Linked DNA regions of Oryzias latipes. The protein of the gene in region 1 interacts with the protein of each later gene in a pairwise test. Links are inferred from orthologs where the notes say so. Each region holds a gene or a part of one and is shown on either strand. Other genes may lie near its edges.

Region 1 (4,538 bases):
CTGAGACTCGCAAAAACACCTGTTAACCGTTTTCCTCCGTTTGTGGACTCCTCTTCCTCGATGCCGTGGAGGCTTTTGAAGGCATGTGGAGGACTGAGCAGCTTCACATCAAACACAGCCGGCACACAATGCTGCATGTTTTCAATAGAAACCCTAAATTATCTGCACGTTACTTCCTGTTAAGTCATATTCCAGGTTCCCCACATTTTCACCAGATTAGAAGTCGACTCCCGGAATCAAAGTCTTTAAAAATAAAAACAAACTGGACCGTCCCATTGGTCGAAGACCATCCCCTTGAAATCAAGTTGCCCTTCGAGCTGGGACGTCCTCAGACGTTCGGTCAGACGTGTCTTTATTTACAAACGAAGGAGGAGATGTTGAGCCACTAGAGGGCAGACCTGCAGCGTCACCATGACACAAAAAACGATGGCATCCTCCTTTGGCGTCCATCAACTCTCCTTGTAGATGAAGAGGATGTCCTCGTCTGTTCCATAGCTCTGCCGGGCCTCCTCGAAGTTACTGACACTGGTGCAGCACACACCTGGAAGAAAAAACATGTTTTCCTGAAATGCTTCCATCAGAACTCCACAGACGAAAGAAAAAAAAAAAAAGGTTGCTGGTTCAGCCGGTCTGAAGCAGTCCAAAGATTCAAAGTCTGACCTTTTAGACAGCATCTGTAAACTGAAAATTTTGGGGAATTCACGAGAAAAAAAACCTGAGTAAATCAAAAATTTACAGTTGAAAGTTTCAGAGAATACAAACAGACATCAAACAAAAAGTTGCAAATAAGAAATGACAGAATTTAAATTCTGTAGATGGAACTTAAGAGGTAAATCAAAACAAAAATCATTCTAAATCTAATTGTTGCTATTGGAGCATTTTAGTTCATTGTTCAAAAAAAGCCATGAATCTGCTTAAAGACTCACTAATGAAAACGAGGTTTTTGGTGGTTTTGCAAGTTCTTATGGCATTTTTCTGAACATAAGCTTAAAGTTGCATGTCTGACAATTTCTTCATTTAAATTGTGAATCAGGAGCAGACTAAAAAAAAATTTTCTGTTTGATAAAGATTGTATTTGTTCACTGGGCGGACCACAGACTACCTGCTCCGCTCCATTCTGATGCATCCACTTGCAGACACATAGATCCATGTTTGTCTTTGTTCTCCTCGTCTGAGCTGGCATCTGGCTCAAAACAGTATGGCTGGATATAACTCCAATATTGCTCGCCATTTAAGTTGGGGGTGTGAGCGGCTATAAGCTAGCAGGAGAGCGTGTTAACAGAGCCCTCAGTTATGGGTGATGTGAAGAGGGCGGGGTTGGCCAACGGTCGTACTGACAACTCAGAGGTGAGTTTTTATTGAACTCCTGTCGCTCTGCAGAAACTATGTTCTAAAAATTGATACAGGTTTTTTGATTTGGGCTATAAATTGCACAATCATGGTTAAAAGATCACCGGGAACGCTTTTAAAATAGATCACAAGATGTTTGGAGTGGGACTTTATGACATAATGGACACATGCATTTTAAAAATGCTACTTATGCACCCTTTGTAACTAAAATGAACTTAAATGTGCAGCTCTTCTCAACCAGCATGGGTGAAAATGATCAAGATACATGTCTTTTTGGACAGAAGAGCTTTTTAAACTTACGGTCAGAATAAGCAGGGTTGTTGTAAAAGATGCTGCCAGCTGTCTTGTTGAAACCACATAAAACCACAAAGTGACCCTGGTACTCCGGCTTCCTGCAGAAACACTTCTGGCCCACGGGCAGGAAGCAGCAGTACTTGACAGGAGAGGAGCACAGCTCACAGGTCAGGATCACGGCGTTGACCAGCACTATGGCGACGTGGCCCTGCTCCAGGTGCGACTGGATCTGCTGAACCGTCACTGAACTGTGGGAGGATGGCACACGTTAGACATGACCTCCACAAGGCAGCAAACATGCGGGGGAATGAGCTGAAACTCACCACTTCCTGACAATCACACCTTTGCTTTCCGCCTTTAGGAAGAGTTCGTTCACTCGGTCTTCCTCTGTGTCAAAATGCTTTTTATAAAAGGACTGCAACACAAAGTAAACAGCATGATAATCAGAACTTCCAGGAGTGTTCTCAAACAGCAGAGACTCGGAGAAGTACCTGGTTTTTAAAGCCTTTATCCACTCCAAGAGTCTGTGTGTAGAAGCAGTGTTTGATTCCTAGATGGCTCATGAGGTAGGCCAGGTCAATGGTCCACACGCTCTCTGTGAGCTTCAGTTCCCAGCATGCTCTCTGAAACTCCTCATCACTCAAAGGGTGGAGGTACCTGCAGTCCACGTGGTCATGGTCTTGTTTTAAGGTGGTCTTACTGTTACTGATTCTTGGTGAAAGGTCAGAGGTGAACTTACTTTAGGACCATTCTGGAGCAGGCTAAGCCACAGTCCCAGTGGTAGAGCTGCCGGATGACAGGAACACTCAGCAGGATGGCATCCTCTGAGTGAGAGAACCAAACATCGCGTAAAGACTGCTGCTGTGTGTGTGAATGGGAAGATTTAACCCGGGTTAAATGGATGTGTCGCATTTCGTACCTGTCATTCTGCTGCGCTCAGTCTTTTAAGGACGGCTTGCTAACTCGAAGCAAACTCGATGGTCCTGTTTCCCCCCCCTGCAGGCGGGGCTGCCTTTCCTCATCTATGCCAACTAAAGAGGAAATATGCCGGGTACACGGTGAAAACGGCGCGTTTGGACACAGCCCCGCCAAACATACGATTATTGACAAGTACAATACATGGCAAAAATATAAAAAGGATTTCCAAAAAACAGACTCCGCTGTTATTGTCCTGCCAGCGCCTTCACCGTCTTCCTCACTTTTTCAGTTGTTTGCTAGTGGCCCAACACTGCCCACGGAGAAGCGTCGTGTTTAGCAAGCTTGTTGCTCTACTGCCCCCGTGCGGTGTGGAGGACTCACTCAAGGCAATTTAATGCAATGTTAGACAGAGAGAGAGAGAGACAGACAGACAGAGCGAGAGAGAGAGAGACAGACAGACAGAGCGAGAGAGAGAGACAGAGAGACAGAGAGACAGAGAGACAGACAGACAGACAGACAGACAGACAGACAGACAGACAGACAGACAGAGATAGTCAAAGAAGTCATTAAAGAAAAGTAGAAACATCTTTATCTATAAGCTATTTCTACCCTTCTTCAAAGTTCTCGTGTCCTCTTTGGAACCTGTCGACACATTTCCATGTTTTTGTACCAATTCATTTTAACAATTCATCCATATCATAATTTGTGGTTGCTGGTTAGATTCCCTCTCGATTTTGGTTCGATTGTAAGGATCCGACTGGATTTGAATAACTGAAAATCGATCTGGGACATATTTAGCCAAAAATCCACCAGTGTAATTCAGAGATAAATAGCTGGTACTGAACAGTGCAGGTGAAGCTTTCCAGATACCTTGTGTTTCTTGCAAGATAAGCAATTGTAAATTATGTGTATGTGTACAAACAAGAATACATGTCAAAACCATTTACATTTTAGTTTCCTAAAGTTCAGCCTGCTGTTGTTTTTCCACATCAAAATAATCCAAAGGGAACATTATTGGAACATTCTACCAGACTGTATGGTCACATGTCTTTGTTAAATTTTAAGTGTTTCCATACATTGGACTGGAATGATGGACTGATCGTTTTTTACTGTCATCACATGTGTGTTGTCCACTGTGATGTACTTGTTTTTTTATTGTAATAGTAAAATAAACATACTGTGCTGCATTTTCCAATATTGATATGATTGACTTATTTCATCTTGATAATGTTCAGGTTGGTTTGATTAAAAATTTCCCTCAGACAGATCAATCCAGTTGGATTGTAGTACTATAAATCGATTCATTGATTAAGTCAATTACTCGTTACACCCCTAGTTTATTTCTTTAAATGCTTTTATGCATATTTTTCAAGCACAAAATTAAAGTTAAACGTTGTAGCAGGACTTGTTGTGATGTTGTTGTCAGCTTTGTACAGAGAGCGGGCTGCAAAGTGGTACAGTGGTTGGCGCCTCTTGCCTCACAGCCAGGGGACCCTGGGACCTCCCTGTGTGAAGTTTGCATGTACTCCCCGTGTAAGTGTAGGTTTTCTCTGGGCACTCTTGACCTCTTCCCGAAAACATGCTTAACCGGTTAATATATGACTCGAAATTGTGCCTAGGTGTGTATTTGAATGCTAAAATTTAAACGCCACACTCACTCTGAACTGTCTCAGCTGACAGTTCAGAGTGAGTGAGACAGAAGTAAAAATCAAGGAAATCACACAATTTTTTTTAATTATTTTTAGAATAGTGCAGAATATGAGGAGTTAGGTAAACTTCAGCTACAAGACACAGAATGCGGGGAAACAATCGAGGAAATCACATAGTAGGATTTTAATGAAAGAATTGATAAATTAACTCCTACAAATAAGCAAGAATTCGGTTCCTCACAGACCTGTTACCACTCCTTTAAGAAGCTCTTCTGTCCAGAACTGGCCATCAGTATTTATGTATCTTCTTTGAACTGGTTATCTGTA
Region 2 (3,832 bases), on another chromosome or scaffold:
TTCAACAACCAATAGTCCTGGTGTTATGTCTGTGTCTACTTCAACTAATTTCCCCTTCAATCAGTTTCCAAGCATGAATTAGTCCTATGTGTGACACATTTTTCCTTCTACTCTCATATGTTAAGTCGAGATAAAATGTGTTTTTCACCTATTTTGACGCTAAAATAAGTGAATATTTGTGCAGCTTGTGTGGATCGAGACACCAACCAACCCCACGATGAAGGTGGTTGACATCAAGGCCTGCTCCGATTTGGTGCACGAGCACAACAAGGATATCGTGGTTGTCGTGGACAACACGTTCATGTCGGCGTATTTCCAGGTAAAGGATTGATGTGCATTTCACACTTAGTAAGTTTTTTTGGAAATGGCTGATGGAATTATACCTCCTGCGTTTTATTCCGAACCCCCACAGCGCCCTCTGGCATTGGGAGCAGATATTTGCATGTATTCGGCCACAAAATACATGAACGGTGAGTCATGAGTCAAATCACGTTTTGCCATTTGAAAGCATCAACTTTTATGTAAATGTCATTTATTTGCAGCAGTTTAACTAAAGGCTTTCTACGTTTTTAGAATCTTCTGTTATTTTTTTTTTCTAAACTTAAAGGAGATGATTTATGAAAATAATTTATTTGAATGTTTTGTAATTTTGATTTTTTTATGTGTAAGATGATCTTTTCCATCTGACTGTCTAAAAATAAAGACTTAAAAAATCAGATTATCTTCTTTCACTTTCGGCTTCTCCCAGCAGGGGAGGGACAACCCTCCCTTGAGGATGAGTCGCATGGTTAACTTGGCAATGTTTTTAGATTATAATAAAGCAAAAGTTGTTTTTGGCAGTCTTATTCATTTGAATGGTTTAGACCCTTGTTTTTCTTTAAGCGAACAATGATAATAATAATAATAATAATTGATACTTTATTTATCCCACAATGGGGAAATTCTTCTCTGCATTTGACGCATCCCCTGGGGGAGCGGTGAGCTGCAGCCAAACTGCGCTCGGAAGGCAGTAGCGTTTAGGGTTAAGGGTCTTGTCCAAGGACCCCCACTGGGTGATGTTAATCACTCGCCTTTGATAGGGCAATTGCCCCCAGTACCATTGTTTATTCCCCTCCGGGAATCGAAAATACCTGTATTTTTTGTTACAAAAATCTCATTGGCCAATTGAAATAAATATCTTCTTTTGGAATATTACAAATTAGATCTAGTTAAAATCGCAACATACTTCAAAATCTACATAATTATACTTGAAATGACCCGTCCAAGCCCTGCAACAGACTGGCGACCTGTCCAGGACGTCCCCTGCCTTCGCCCACGAGTGGCCGGGATAGGCTCCAGCAGCCCCTTGACCCCGAAAGGGACAAAATGGGTTAGAATATGAATGAATGAATGCCCCATCCAAGCAGCACACTGGTTCATGTTTTACTGCAGCATGAAGGTTTGGCTGGTTCTTCAGTCGTGTCCTGTGCTCCACAGGTCACAGTGATGTGGTGATGGGGATGCTCTCATTGAACAACGAGGGTCTGTGTGAGCGACTGAGGTTTCTGCAAAACGGTGAGTTAATGCCACACTGGTGCTGCAAATGTTATAAATCTGATTACTGCGAGAGAAAACCAAGTGCTTTTATTTTGAAACATTTGCTGGCCTAAGAAAACTCTCGGTGAATGTAAACTGCATTATTTTCTTGAATATGAAATATATATATATAAATATATATATATAAATATATATATATATATATATATATATATATATAAATATATATATATATATATATATATATATATATATATATATATATATATATATATAAATATATAAATATAAATATATAAATATATATATATATATATATAAATATATATATATATATAAAAATATATATATATATATATATATATAAAAATATATATATATATATATATATATAAAAATATATATATATATATATATATATAAAAATATATATATATATATATATAAAAATATATATATATAAAAATATATATATATATATATATAAATATATATATATATATATATATATATATATATATATATATATATATATATAAATATATATATATATAAATATATATATATAAATATATAAATATAAATATATAAATATATATATATATATATAAATATATATATATATATAAAAATATATATATATATATATATATAAAAATATATATATATATATATATATATATAAAAATATATATATATATATATATATATATATATATATATATATATATATATATATATATATATATATATATATATATATATATATATATATATATATATATATATATATATATATATATATATATATATATATATTTTACATTACATTACATTACATTACATTACAGACGAAATGTTTGGACACACCTTCTCATTCCTTTAAATGGGAAGGTCTGTACTGTATATAAATTTATATTGAGTTTGGCAGAAACCCTTACATTAAACTGGCTTTTTGCTCCACTCCACATTTGGTGAATTGGTTATTTGACCTACATTTACTTTGTAAACAACTAACACATGAACCAAAGGTAAGAACCAATTTGAGACCCTTTCAGTGTAAGAGGATTGTTCCTGCTTCTTTGGCTTGCCAAGACTTGAAGTTGTGTTTTTTTTCTGCCTTTTGTTTTTGTCGGGATACAGCTCTGGGTGGTGTCCCGTCTCCCTTCGACTGTTTTCTGTGTAACCGTGGACTGAAAACGCTACACCTGCGAATGGAGCAGCACTTCAAAAACGGCATGGCTGCTGCTAAGTTCCTGGAGGCGGATCCCAGGGTGGAGCGAGTCATTTTTCCTGGTAATGGAATTGGCTTCAGCCATTTTGCCGACTAGTGGGATAGGCCACTTACTCCAACCTCCCAACTGTAAAATGAACTTTTTCGTTGCACATTTCTACTGTATTTAGTGTTTTAACAGAATATTTTTAATTATTGTATTTAAACAAGTCTGCATGATAGAATATAAGTAGCTTTTATTAGGTGTCTTCTCTTTGACTGTATATCTTTTCTTACCGTATTTTTTAGCCCAAATGTTTTAGAGTTTTTTTTTTTAGTAAATAAACTATTCCAAACTATTCATTTTACAGAACAGATATTCAGTAAAATGATGCTTAAATGTCAAGGAGAGAAGTGACTCCAGATGAGTAAACACTGCCATCTAGCGGTGTGTAGGGTGTAAAGGTAAGTGAACAGCAGCAGAGGTGTCATCTAAATGGGTGCAATGAGCTTAACAGACCCATAAACCCTAAGTAAGTATAAAAGGATTCATACGGTGGCCCAGAAGGGTCACAACACATTAACTTACCACACAACACATTAACTCAACACAACACATTAACTCACAACACAATAACTCACAACACATTAACTCACAACCGAAGTAAAGATGCAATGGAAGTGCTTTTATTCTGAAATTTCCACTGGGCTGAGCGGCTAACTACCTAACAGAAAGTAACGTCACAGTGAGCTGTGGAGGGAGCACGTTGTTGCCAGATTACCCTTGCCAGATACTCTGGTGGGCTACCTTAGATTCATACATGCTGACTGAGCAAATCATTTTAATGTTAAATAAAGTTGGACGTGGTAAAACCAAAGAACTGATCTAAGTGGCTGGGTAGCTCGGTTGATAAGGTGGAAGGTTGTCACGCAGGAATACAGGGTTTGATTCTGAATGGGCAATTACCATAGTGAGGGCCCTTGAAGAAGGCCCTTAACACTACTGCGTCCCGCACAGCTCACCATGCCCCCAGGGGATGGGTCAAATGCGGAAAACAAATTTGACTGAGTAGCTCAGTTGGT

Evidence for each region.
Region 2: the proteins of gucd1 (region 1) and cth interact in binary tests that used the Homo sapiens proteins (3 or more experiments, as listed by UniProt). The two-hybrid records come from large-scale screens. The link is inferred for Oryzias latipes from reciprocal best matches to the Homo sapiens genes GUCD1 and CTH.

The regions. Positions count from the first base shown.
Region 1 is NC_019867.2:25,327,041-25,331,578, reverse strand, and holds the start of gucd1 (protein GUCD1), read right to left. Parts: upstream 2,923-4,538; 5' UTR 2,571-2,922; coding exon 2,564-2,570; intron 2,469-2,563; coding exon 2,384-2,468; intron 2,302-2,383; coding exon 2,136-2,301; intron 2,060-2,135; coding exon 1,968-2,059; intron 1,893-1,967; coding exon 1,651-1,892; intron 542-1,650; coding exon 450-541; 3' UTR 1-449.
Region 2 is NC_019862.2:13,073,839-13,077,670, forward strand, and holds part of cth (cystathionine gamma-lyase), read left to right. Parts: intron 1-184; coding exon 185-319; intron 320-412; coding exon 413-470; intron 471-1,476; coding exon 1,477-1,554; intron 1,555-2,679; coding exon 2,680-2,832; intron 2,833-3,832. UniProt on the Homo sapiens protein: Catalyzes the last step in the trans-sulfuration pathway from L-methionine to L-cysteine in a pyridoxal-5'-phosphate (PLP)-dependent manner, which consists on cleaving the L,L-cystathionine molecule into L-cysteine, ammonia and 2-oxobutanoate.